Linked DNA regions of Arabidopsis thaliana. The protein of the gene in region 2 interacts with the protein of the main gene of each other region in a pairwise test. Each region holds a gene or a part of one and is shown on either strand. Other genes may lie near its edges. The genes, in order: AT5G62440 and FIB2.

Region 1 (4,543 bases), on a different chromosome or scaffold from region 2:
TAGAAAATCAATTATAAAAAAAAAAACAAAAAAAAAACTTCACAACCATATAACATCCATTGACGAATTTCATTAAGTGAACGGTTGTACGTTAAGATAAGAAGACTGCAGAAGAAGGTAATAGATATGAGGTGCTCTCTCATTGGCTATTACCAAAAAGGTCTCTGCCACATTTTATGATTTACCAAACTCTGCCTTTTTTCCATGTCAACTTCTACTGTAGGTCCCTTACTCACCTGCATCTTGGTCAGATCATAGATTTCACAAACTGATTGTGTTGCAGTAAGATCGTAGTTAAGAAGCTTCCTAAATCTAAGAAGGCTTAACAAAACAAAATTTGTTGCATCTTCAAAAGACAATTTGTGTATGTGTCTATTTGTATATTGTGTAAGAAGACAATTTGGAATATTAATCCGAATACCGAATATCGGATAATGTTTCTTTATAATTCATAATGTGTTTCAAAATAATCCATTATTCCAAGACGTGTGCCAACCAGTGTTATCACTTCATGTAATCATTTTTTAGCAGGGTTAAGATTTAAGACAGCTTTAGTTTGAGGGCATTGTCTTTCTCTTAGAAGGGTCGTAAACGGTGAACATGTCACACACAGTAAGTTACCAAAGTCAAAATGTCGGTTTTTCATAACTTCCCCAATTCTTTTTATTTAACATTATCATTTAGCAACCAGATCAACACTACACTATCAATGGAAAGTGTTTTTTTTTCATCTAGATTTTGATTTGAGTTTTTCGTTTTTGAATTATTGGTTTTTAAAAACTAGATCAACCAGATTTTTAGTTCTATTGACGCGTCTGTGTTTTTTTCTGATGTTGTCAAGATAGTAGGGACAATATTCTTCTTCTTCAGCAATAATGGGTTATATAAACTGACAATTTTTCTCCAACAAAAAGCAGTTGCATTAGACAAGATCATAACTTTTAAAGTTTTTGGCAAAAGAACTAAATCTGAAATTTTCAAAATTTTCTTTTGAAATAAGGCATCAAGTGTCAGCATATTCATCTTCTGAATCTCCCTCCTCTACCACCACCACGACCGCCTCTTCTTCCACCACCGCCACCGCGACCTCCACCATGTCCATTGCCGTTAGCTCCAGGAGTCTTCATGTTTTCAGGCAATGGGAGGATTTGATCAACACACTTCCTGAAGCTGAAATCGTCTGCAGTATCGTCTTCCCTAACCAGAAAGAAGCATCTGCTTTTCCACATTGGGTGGGTTCTTACTTGGAAGGTTTTGATTCCTCCTCCAATCTTCTTTTCAGGCTCAGAATGGCCCTTCTTAATCAGATCTAGCAGCACCATGTGCTCATACTGAAATGTACAATCCAGAACAAAGTTCAGTACAACGAGTTAGTTAGTTGGAAGCTCAAAAGAAACTGCAACAACTGTAATATATTACATGACTATGCAATGTTTTATCTTTTATTTGTGCCCTCAAAATTTGACATTAACTTCATTCTTCTAACCATTATATGACATCAAGACCCAAAAAAACTTTCTAATTCACACACAATCCACAATCATATAATCAGTAAGAACACGATACATTTGAACTTTTCAACTAGTAAAAAAGCTGCAAAGGAGTCCAATTTACAAGCTATCTCCACTTCACTAATCCTCTCCCTAAACATAATACAATATCCACAATCATCTCCCTAAACATAATACAATATCCACAATCATTGTAAACAACCACTAATTTGAGACAAAAACAAAATTCTAACACCAAACACTGAATCCAAAATCAAATCATATGACCAATACAAAGGCGAACCCAATTCTCAATTTCTTTTAGTTTAAATACAAAGCACGATCATCATCAGATTCATTGATAAAACATCTTCCTAAACACATCACAGAACTTAATAATCACAATCAGAGCTCTTAGATTAACCTATATAAGTCTCGAGCAAAGGAATGAATATTTCCAAAAAATTTGAAACTTTACAATAAACAAAGCCAAAAGACAAAGACGAAGAGTAAACCCAAATATGTATTACCTTATTAACATCGAGATCAGTTGGCCAAAAGTGTAAAAACTTGACAAAGTAATCGAACATCGCCACAGAGGTAACAAACTCCTTGGGACCAAGTTTAACCGGACCTGACTTCTCTTCCTCTCCAACCTTCTGCTTCTTCGATTCACCTCCGTTCTCTTCTTCCTCTGTCTCCTCTCTCTCACGTTTCTCATCGCCGGTCTCGGCTTTCGGGGTCGCGGTTTCGACTTCCATGTCCACTTTCTGGTCTGGGTTCACTTCCGCTGACAGGGAATCGACGATCTCTTGTTCTTCAGCCATTGTTAAGCTAGTAAAGCTTCCGCCTTTTTTTCACCTTTCTACGATTTCTAGGGTTTAAGCTTGAGGGTGTGTGACCTACAGAAATCGTCTAAGCGGTATATTTATATGACTTTGGTTTCCGATTGAACCGAACTGGTTCGGTCTATTTGATTTTTTGGCTCGACGGCATACACTACATGAAAACCAGGATTTTCAATGTAGTAACTAATTTGTCGTCATTGATCTGTCCAATTATTATTTTTACGTCTCTTAAATCTTTTCATTTTAAAGTCTACATTTTTCTAATATATTTTTTTATTAATCATCTCAAGATATTTTTTTAGTCTACAAATTACTTTTACTGTTGTAGAAAATTTGGATAATAGTCAGTAATTCTAAATAATAGAATAAAAACTCAAATCTTAATATAATAGTTTAACAAATAAATCATATTATACTTTTTTTGGATAAAAAATGTTGATATAATTTACAATGTTATTAAAAATAATTTTTGGGATACCTAAACGTTTTAGATGTTCAGTCTGTCGGGATATCTTGGAGACTTAACTTATTGATCAATCACAATTTTTGCCAAAGAGGAAAATGTCAAAGTCAAACGAACATCTTTTGAAATTATTTACATCTCGTGGAATTAATGGAACTTCTTAAATTTTTCAAAAATTTGACATAATTGGAATATATTTTTTTTGCTTCTAGTCAATCTTACCATATTATCTATCAACAGTCAAACACCTCAATCTTAAATTTTCTAAAAATAATGGAATTATTTTATCGTATTTTGGTAAAGAGTTATTTTTGTAATATTATCTAAAATCTAAAAAGAACCAAGATAGATAGGTACAAAAAAAAAAAAAACTTTTTTTTGTGAAAATCTGATTATCATAACGTTACCGTGTCAAATCGTCAACCTCCATAACTCCGGTTTTGTGTATTTAATTATATATTTATCTGTTTACACGCGCTTCGAAATTTTGATTTACTTATCTGAATATTTTTCCAGACCGAACATCAAACAAGAAAACACATTTGTCCGAATTTCATCTTGAGAGCTGTTTGTGCCCTTCAAGAAATCGAAAGAGAGCTTCTTTCCCCCATTTTCTGCGATTCACGATATTTCTTCTTCTATAGGTAATCATAATTTGATCATCTTCTCTTTTATCTCTTTTTTTCTTTCATTTTCTTCTTGGGTTATGGTTGGTTGATTCTGCTATTTGGGAATTTTGATTTCTGTGACTTTTGGGGTTTCAATTTCATTCCTGAATTGTGATGGAATCGAATGGTATCTCTCTTTTGTTTTCATGGTTGAGATGTGATTCTGAAATTTGGGGATTTTCCGATTAGGTTTATGTCTTGAAAATTTGGGGAAATTTGGAGACAAAGACATATTTTAAACTCAGATCCTAATCTCTTCCACCAAGACATTTTCCCTGAATTGTTCCGCTTTAATGAAATGAAATCGATTGTCTGAGCTCAATTATGATGTTTCGATTCAAAGAAATGGAGATTTTTGTGTTGATGATGGAACATTTATCATTATAAGAGTTATGAGATTTTTATTTTGAATCTTTGGATCTTTCTTGGTTTTTAACAGGACAACGTTTTTTTACACATTGAGGCTAAAAGAGAGATGGCTGATGATCAGAGTTCAAGTACTGACCGTCTCGTGAAACCTGAAAGTTTAAACTCAGATAGAGGATCCAATCAATCTATTGAATCTTCTGGAGAGAGTTCTAGAGCTCAGGGTTCCACAAGCCTGTCTACTACTAAATCTATGGATGGTAAGAAAACCGAGGAAGAAGAGACAACGGAACAACGCGATGTTGATGATGAAGAGGAACCGCTCATCCAATCGGTTGAATGTCGTATATGCCAAGAGGAGGATTCCGTTAAGAACCTCGAGTCCCCTTGTTCTTGTAGTGGCAGTTTGAAGGTGATAATTTTATCAATGAATCTCATTGTTTTATTTGTTTTTGTTGGTATCTTTCGTTTAAAACAGTTCTCATCAATTTGGTATTTTGTGTCTATAGTATGCTCATCGTAAGTGTGTTCAACGTTGGTGTAATGAGAAAGGCGACACAACCTGTGAAATATGCCACAAGGTATAATCAAATCACTAACAACATTTTTGGTATAATCTTTTGGTTACACCGAATGCAAGTTTATATAACTGTTTTTTCTTCCTTATGGAAACAGTCTTATCAACCTGGATACACCGCTCCTCCTCCT
Region 2 (5,005 bases):
TATGTAGATTGTTAGGATCTGGTTTGAAAAAATAAATAATAGTTACTTAACATTCATACCCAAAAAAATAATAAAGAATAGTTGATAATATTTCATGAAAATCGATTTGTTTTGGTGGACATACATCGTCGTCTCTACTCTATTGTCTCGATCGCAAGTAATATGACAAATAAAGCAGCAGCCCTAGCAATAAAACATGTGACTACTAAAATAGGAGGATTTATCTTTACTTGACGAACTATAAATTAAATATCTACTCTTTTACCTTGACTTTGAAAATTACTTTTTAAGATTGCCTTTTACAATTATGTGGAATAGCGGCACACATTTACGTAAATTTAACTTCAATTTAAAACAATGATTTATTCATTTTCATCATACAAACTTTTCAGCACATTTTCTCCTTTTTAATATAATTTTATATATTATAGATAGAGATATAGATCAAACAATGTATGACTTTAAACTTAGATTGTAAATTCTTCTTACTATGCTCGAAAATTTCATCTACGTATATAGATCTATTGTAAACCTAAGTTTAAAACGGAAATCAGTTATTGATAGTAATCTAGTAAGTTTAATCAACTATGCGTTATAACATAATGAAATCATATATACGAGCTTAGATATCTAATTCAGTTAATCAACAAGTCAACTAAACAAGGCTTCACTTTTCCACACCTCTACAGATCGAAATTATTATATATTCGAATTATGTAACTAATGTAAGTCTTGCAACGTGTGGATAGATACAAAATGGATATGTCCATAGGTATACATATTAAAAATATAACTAGAAATGGTATATTACTAACAAAATTTTACCCCCAAAGGTGGCCATCCACTAGTAGCCACATGCTTATCTAGTAGACATTGAACATGATAAAAAGTGCCAAATAAGTGGAATAATCAATGGGAATCTTCATTCCTATAAACAAAAACATTTTCAAGCCTATGACATAGCTAGCTACTCTACAACATGTATATGCCAATTGGGATATAAATGTATTAAAGCATAACCATTAATTTGACAAATAGAAATAAATAGTTCAGAATGTATAAGTTGAGAAAAGTTATAATGATTGGTAGGGAGAGACTCAAAAAGAAAAAAGGATGGGTAATGGGACCTATTTTCCCCAACATCCCACATGCACACTTCCCTCTCCATTCTCTCACATTTATTTCTTTCATTCTAATTTATCCATTCCGTGTGTAACATATTCACTAATAATCTCATCTCACTAACTCATTCATTGATTGTGATATGTTTATCTAGAATTAGTGTTTTAACACTGTGTCTACATATGATTTCCTTTTCATTGTATGTGAACATGTTAACTCACTAATCATTTTGTATTTTCGAGTTAACATGAGTCTCCACTTCGGTAGACTAAAGTAAAGATAGGTTTGAGTATAATAAAGTTTAAAATTTGCTTTAAAATCAATATTTATAAATAAGTTTTTATCATAAGTGATTTTTGTATGTTATATTGGACCTTGTATAAACAGACTACAGAAGAAAATTATTTATGAGAACTTGTAATGTTAGAGTGGACCTCGTATAAACTAATTATGTGGGCTTTTACCATAAACTATTTATGAAAATTATTATGGCCCACACCACTATAACTAAAGCCCACATATTTAGCAGCCCAGTTTCATTGTAAGAGACATGTTCGCTCTGGAACTAGAATTTTCTGGTTTTTGGGTATTTGTTTTCTTATGTGTAGAGAAATGATGGTAACGATTAAATGTTGTGTATTACAATTTACAATGGTAAGACGATTAATATATTTACACACAATTTTGTTGTTGCTGTAACACGTTAGTGTGTGTGATGATAGAATTTCATAAAGCTTTAACTACGAGGGGCAAAATGTTAATTCTAAATAGTTGACAGCAGAAAAAGATATGTATACATAATATAAGGATTAAAACGTAAATAATAATAAATAAGGCGAGTTAAATTAAAACCCTGTTAAAACCCTAGCTTGAAACACATGTATAAAAACACTTGCGAGCGCAGCTTCATCGCCATCGCCATTCTCTCTCTCATCAAAAGCTTTTCTCCTTGATTTTCGCATTCTTTAGAGTCTTAACGCAAAGATGAGACCTCCTCTAACTGGTAAGAACCCTAGCCGCCTCTTCTCTTTTCTTCATTGCTTGCTTATCAGATTAACAATGGCGAGTGACACTCTTAGCTCGTTTAGTCTTTAAAACTTTATGTCTTTAGCTGAACTGATTGTCAACTTTGTTCTTTTTTGCTTAGAACTGTATTGGGTCTGCGTTAGTTCTATCGGATATAGAGTTGATGGTTGGGTTTTATGTTAAACATGGAGTCTCTAATGAATGGTCTTTTGTGTTCAGGAAGTGGTGGTGGGTTCAGTGGTGGAAGAGGGCGTGGTGGATACAGTGGTGGTAGAGGTGACGGTGGATTCAGTGGTGGTCGAGGTGGCGGTGGTAGAGGAGGAGGAAGAGGTTTCAGCGACCGTGGTGGTCGCGGCAGAGGAAGAGGACCACCACGTGGTGGTGCTCGCGGCGGCAGAGGACCAGCTGGCCGTGGAGGCATGAAAGGAGGAAGCAAAGTGATTGTGGAACCTCACAGACACGCAGGAGTGTTCATTGCAAAGGGTAAAGAAGATGCCCTTGTTACCAAGAATTTGGTTCCTGGTGAAGCTGTCTACAACGAGAAGAGAATCTCTGTTCAGGTATTATAGAGGATTGATTAATTGATTGATGGTTTGTATTTGCACTCCTTTTGATGAATTTGTTTTTAATGGTTCTTGTGATTGAATCTGCAGAACGAAGATGGAACCAAGACTGAATACAGAGTTTGGAATCCTTTCCGTTCGAAGTTGGCTGCTGCTATTCTTGGTGGTGTTGATAACATCTGGATTGTAAGCATCAGCTTGTGTGAATCTTATTGTTGTTGTTTGCGAGACTTGGTTCATATATTGATTGTTGTTCCCGTTTCAATGTAGAAACCTGGTGCTAAAGTTCTATACCTTGGTGCTGCTTCTGGAACCACAGTCTCTCATGTGTCTGATCTTGTTGGCCCTGTAAGCAGAACCCGTCCTTTATGTTGTGATTATCAGGTTTTAGACGTGTATTGGAGTTTCTTATATATTGCCTTTGTGATCTGATAGGAGGGGTGTGTGTACGCGGTTGAGTTTTCTCATAGAAGTGGTAGAGATTTGGTGAACATGGCAAAGAAGAGAACCAATGTTATTCCAATCATCGAGGATGCTAGACACCCAGCTAAATACAGAATGCTTGTAGGCATGGTTGATGTTATCTTCTCTGATGTTGCTCAGCCAGATCAGGTTTGCTTCTTTTGTTTAACTCACAATGAATGTCTAAATATTTGCCTCAAAAAGCTTGACCCAATACCATTATATGTGTCCTTTGCTTTAAAATGGTGTTTTGATAATTGCAAATGATGATCTTACTTGGATTCCCCTTCAGATCATTATGGGTGATGCAATCTCCAAGTTTCTGATGTACTGAAAATTCTTGTTTTTGTTTTTGTTAAGCTTAATCTTATTTTACTATGTACTTGTTTTACAATTTCGTTTTTAAGAACAATACTAAATTTAAATGTCTATTATTGCTCGGTTTTGGTTCTCCTGATGTTAAACCTACTTGTTTTCTAAATGCCATTCAGCTTGTGGGTTGCTTCTAGTATACTTTATACTGTTTTGTTTATGAAATTTTCTGTGCCATTTAAAACCGTGCAGGCTAGGATCTTGGCTTTGAATGCATCATACTTCCTCAAGTCAGGAGGACACTTTGTGATCTCAATAAAGGTGGGTAGCAATCGAAACATTTATTTAATCCATGATCTCTCAAGAGAGAAAGATTAGTGAACATGTATTGTCTCATTTTTGCAGGCAAACTGTATCGACTCCACCGTTCCAGCAGAAGCTGTGTTCCAGACTGAAGTGAAGAAGCTTCAACAGGAGCAATTCAAACCAGCTGAGCAAGTGACGCTTGAGCCATTTGAGCGTGACCATGCATGTGTCGTTGGTGGCTACCGTATGCCTAAGAAGCCAAAGGCTGCTACTGCTGCTTAGAAGTTTTCTACTCTACGCTCTTCCCAGTACCTCAGATTTTGCTTTGTCTCGGTCTCTTTAGAATCTGTATGGTTTTAGGGTTTATCTTAAATTTTGAGCTTTGTAATCATTTTGAACCCTGGTTATGTTCACTTGGCTTCCAGCGCTAACTTTTTCGACAAGTTTTTGATATATGGAACAATTATAATAGAATTTTGTCGACTGAGGTTGATTTCTTTAAATAATGACACCTCGTAATGCAAATGTAAAACGCCGCAAGAATTTGCACACAAACAAAACAAAGTTTGAAGACACGTTGCATTTTTAGGACACAAGCCAAGGAAATGTAAATACAAAAAGCTCACGCAGAAACTGTAACAAAAAACTAATGTCAGAAGTGGGGTTTGAACCCACGCCCTCTTACGAAGACCAGAACTTGAGTCTGGCGCCTTAGACCACTCGGCCATCCTGACCTTCTTTATTAAATATCATTGACAACATATATAGCAGGATGAAAAAACTAGAATGGCTTATTCTCAAGCATCTGGAATTTTATTTGGGTTACAAATTTTTTTGATACATTTGGGTTACATGAGGAAAAGTAACTAACATTTGTAATGCAATTTTTCCTTTTGGAAGTAAGTAACAAAACATAACTGATGGAACAGTTTCCTACAATCTAAAACTCTAAATAGAACAATTTGGTGCCCAAACCAATGAAAGACAAACAAAAAGTCACTACTAAGCTTAACAAAAAAAAAACATCAATCACGCAAGTATATCCTTGGATGTCGTCTCACTCCCTCCCCATTTCTTCATACGTTCCATCGTCTCCTCCACCTGTTCATCACAGTTGAGATCGATTCAATTCAAGGAATGAAAAAGTGTATATAACAAACATGGTGTTGTATATCTGGTTCTTACCTCTTTATTCCAGTTTGTCTTATACAGAA

Evidence for each region.
Region 1: the proteins of FIB2 (region 2) and AT5G62440 interact in a two-hybrid assay, tested with the Arabidopsis thaliana proteins (one study listed by BioGRID).

What each region holds. Positions count from the first base shown.
Region 1 is NC_003076.8:25,071,601-25,076,143, forward strand, and holds AT5G62440 (EMB514 (DUF3223)), read right to left. Parts: upstream 2,470-4,543; 5' UTR 2,318-2,469; coding exon 2,021-2,317; intron 1,332-2,020; coding exon 1,020-1,331; 3' UTR 517-1,019; downstream 1-516. Other genes in the region: AT5G62460 (RING/FYVE/PHD zinc finger superfamily protein), read left to right, coding at 3,594-3,596, 3,909-4,247, 4,345-4,416, 4,511-4,543. UniProt on the Arabidopsis thaliana protein: May play a role in ribosome biogenesis and in determining the rate of cell division. Involved in a process essential for nuclear and nucleolar functions.
Region 2 is NC_003075.7:13,072,133-13,077,137, forward strand, and holds FIB2 (fibrillarin 2), read left to right. Parts: upstream 1-1,957; 5' UTR 1,958-2,106; coding exon 2,107-2,125; intron 2,126-2,367; coding exon 2,368-2,708; intron 2,709-2,801; coding exon 2,802-2,897; intron 2,898-2,981; coding exon 2,982-3,059; intron 3,060-3,146; coding exon 3,147-3,323; intron 3,324-3,430; exon of another isoform or gene 3,431-3,503; intron 3,504-3,737; coding exon 3,738-3,806; intron 3,807-3,890; coding exon 3,891-4,073; 3' UTR 4,074-4,300; downstream 4,301-5,005. Other genes in the region: DTX35 (detoxifying efflux carrier 35), read right to left, coding at 4,444-4,525, 4,825-4,892, 4,977-5,005. UniProt on the Arabidopsis thaliana protein: S-adenosyl-L-methionine-dependent methyltransferase that has the ability to methylate both RNAs and proteins. Involved in pre-rRNA processing.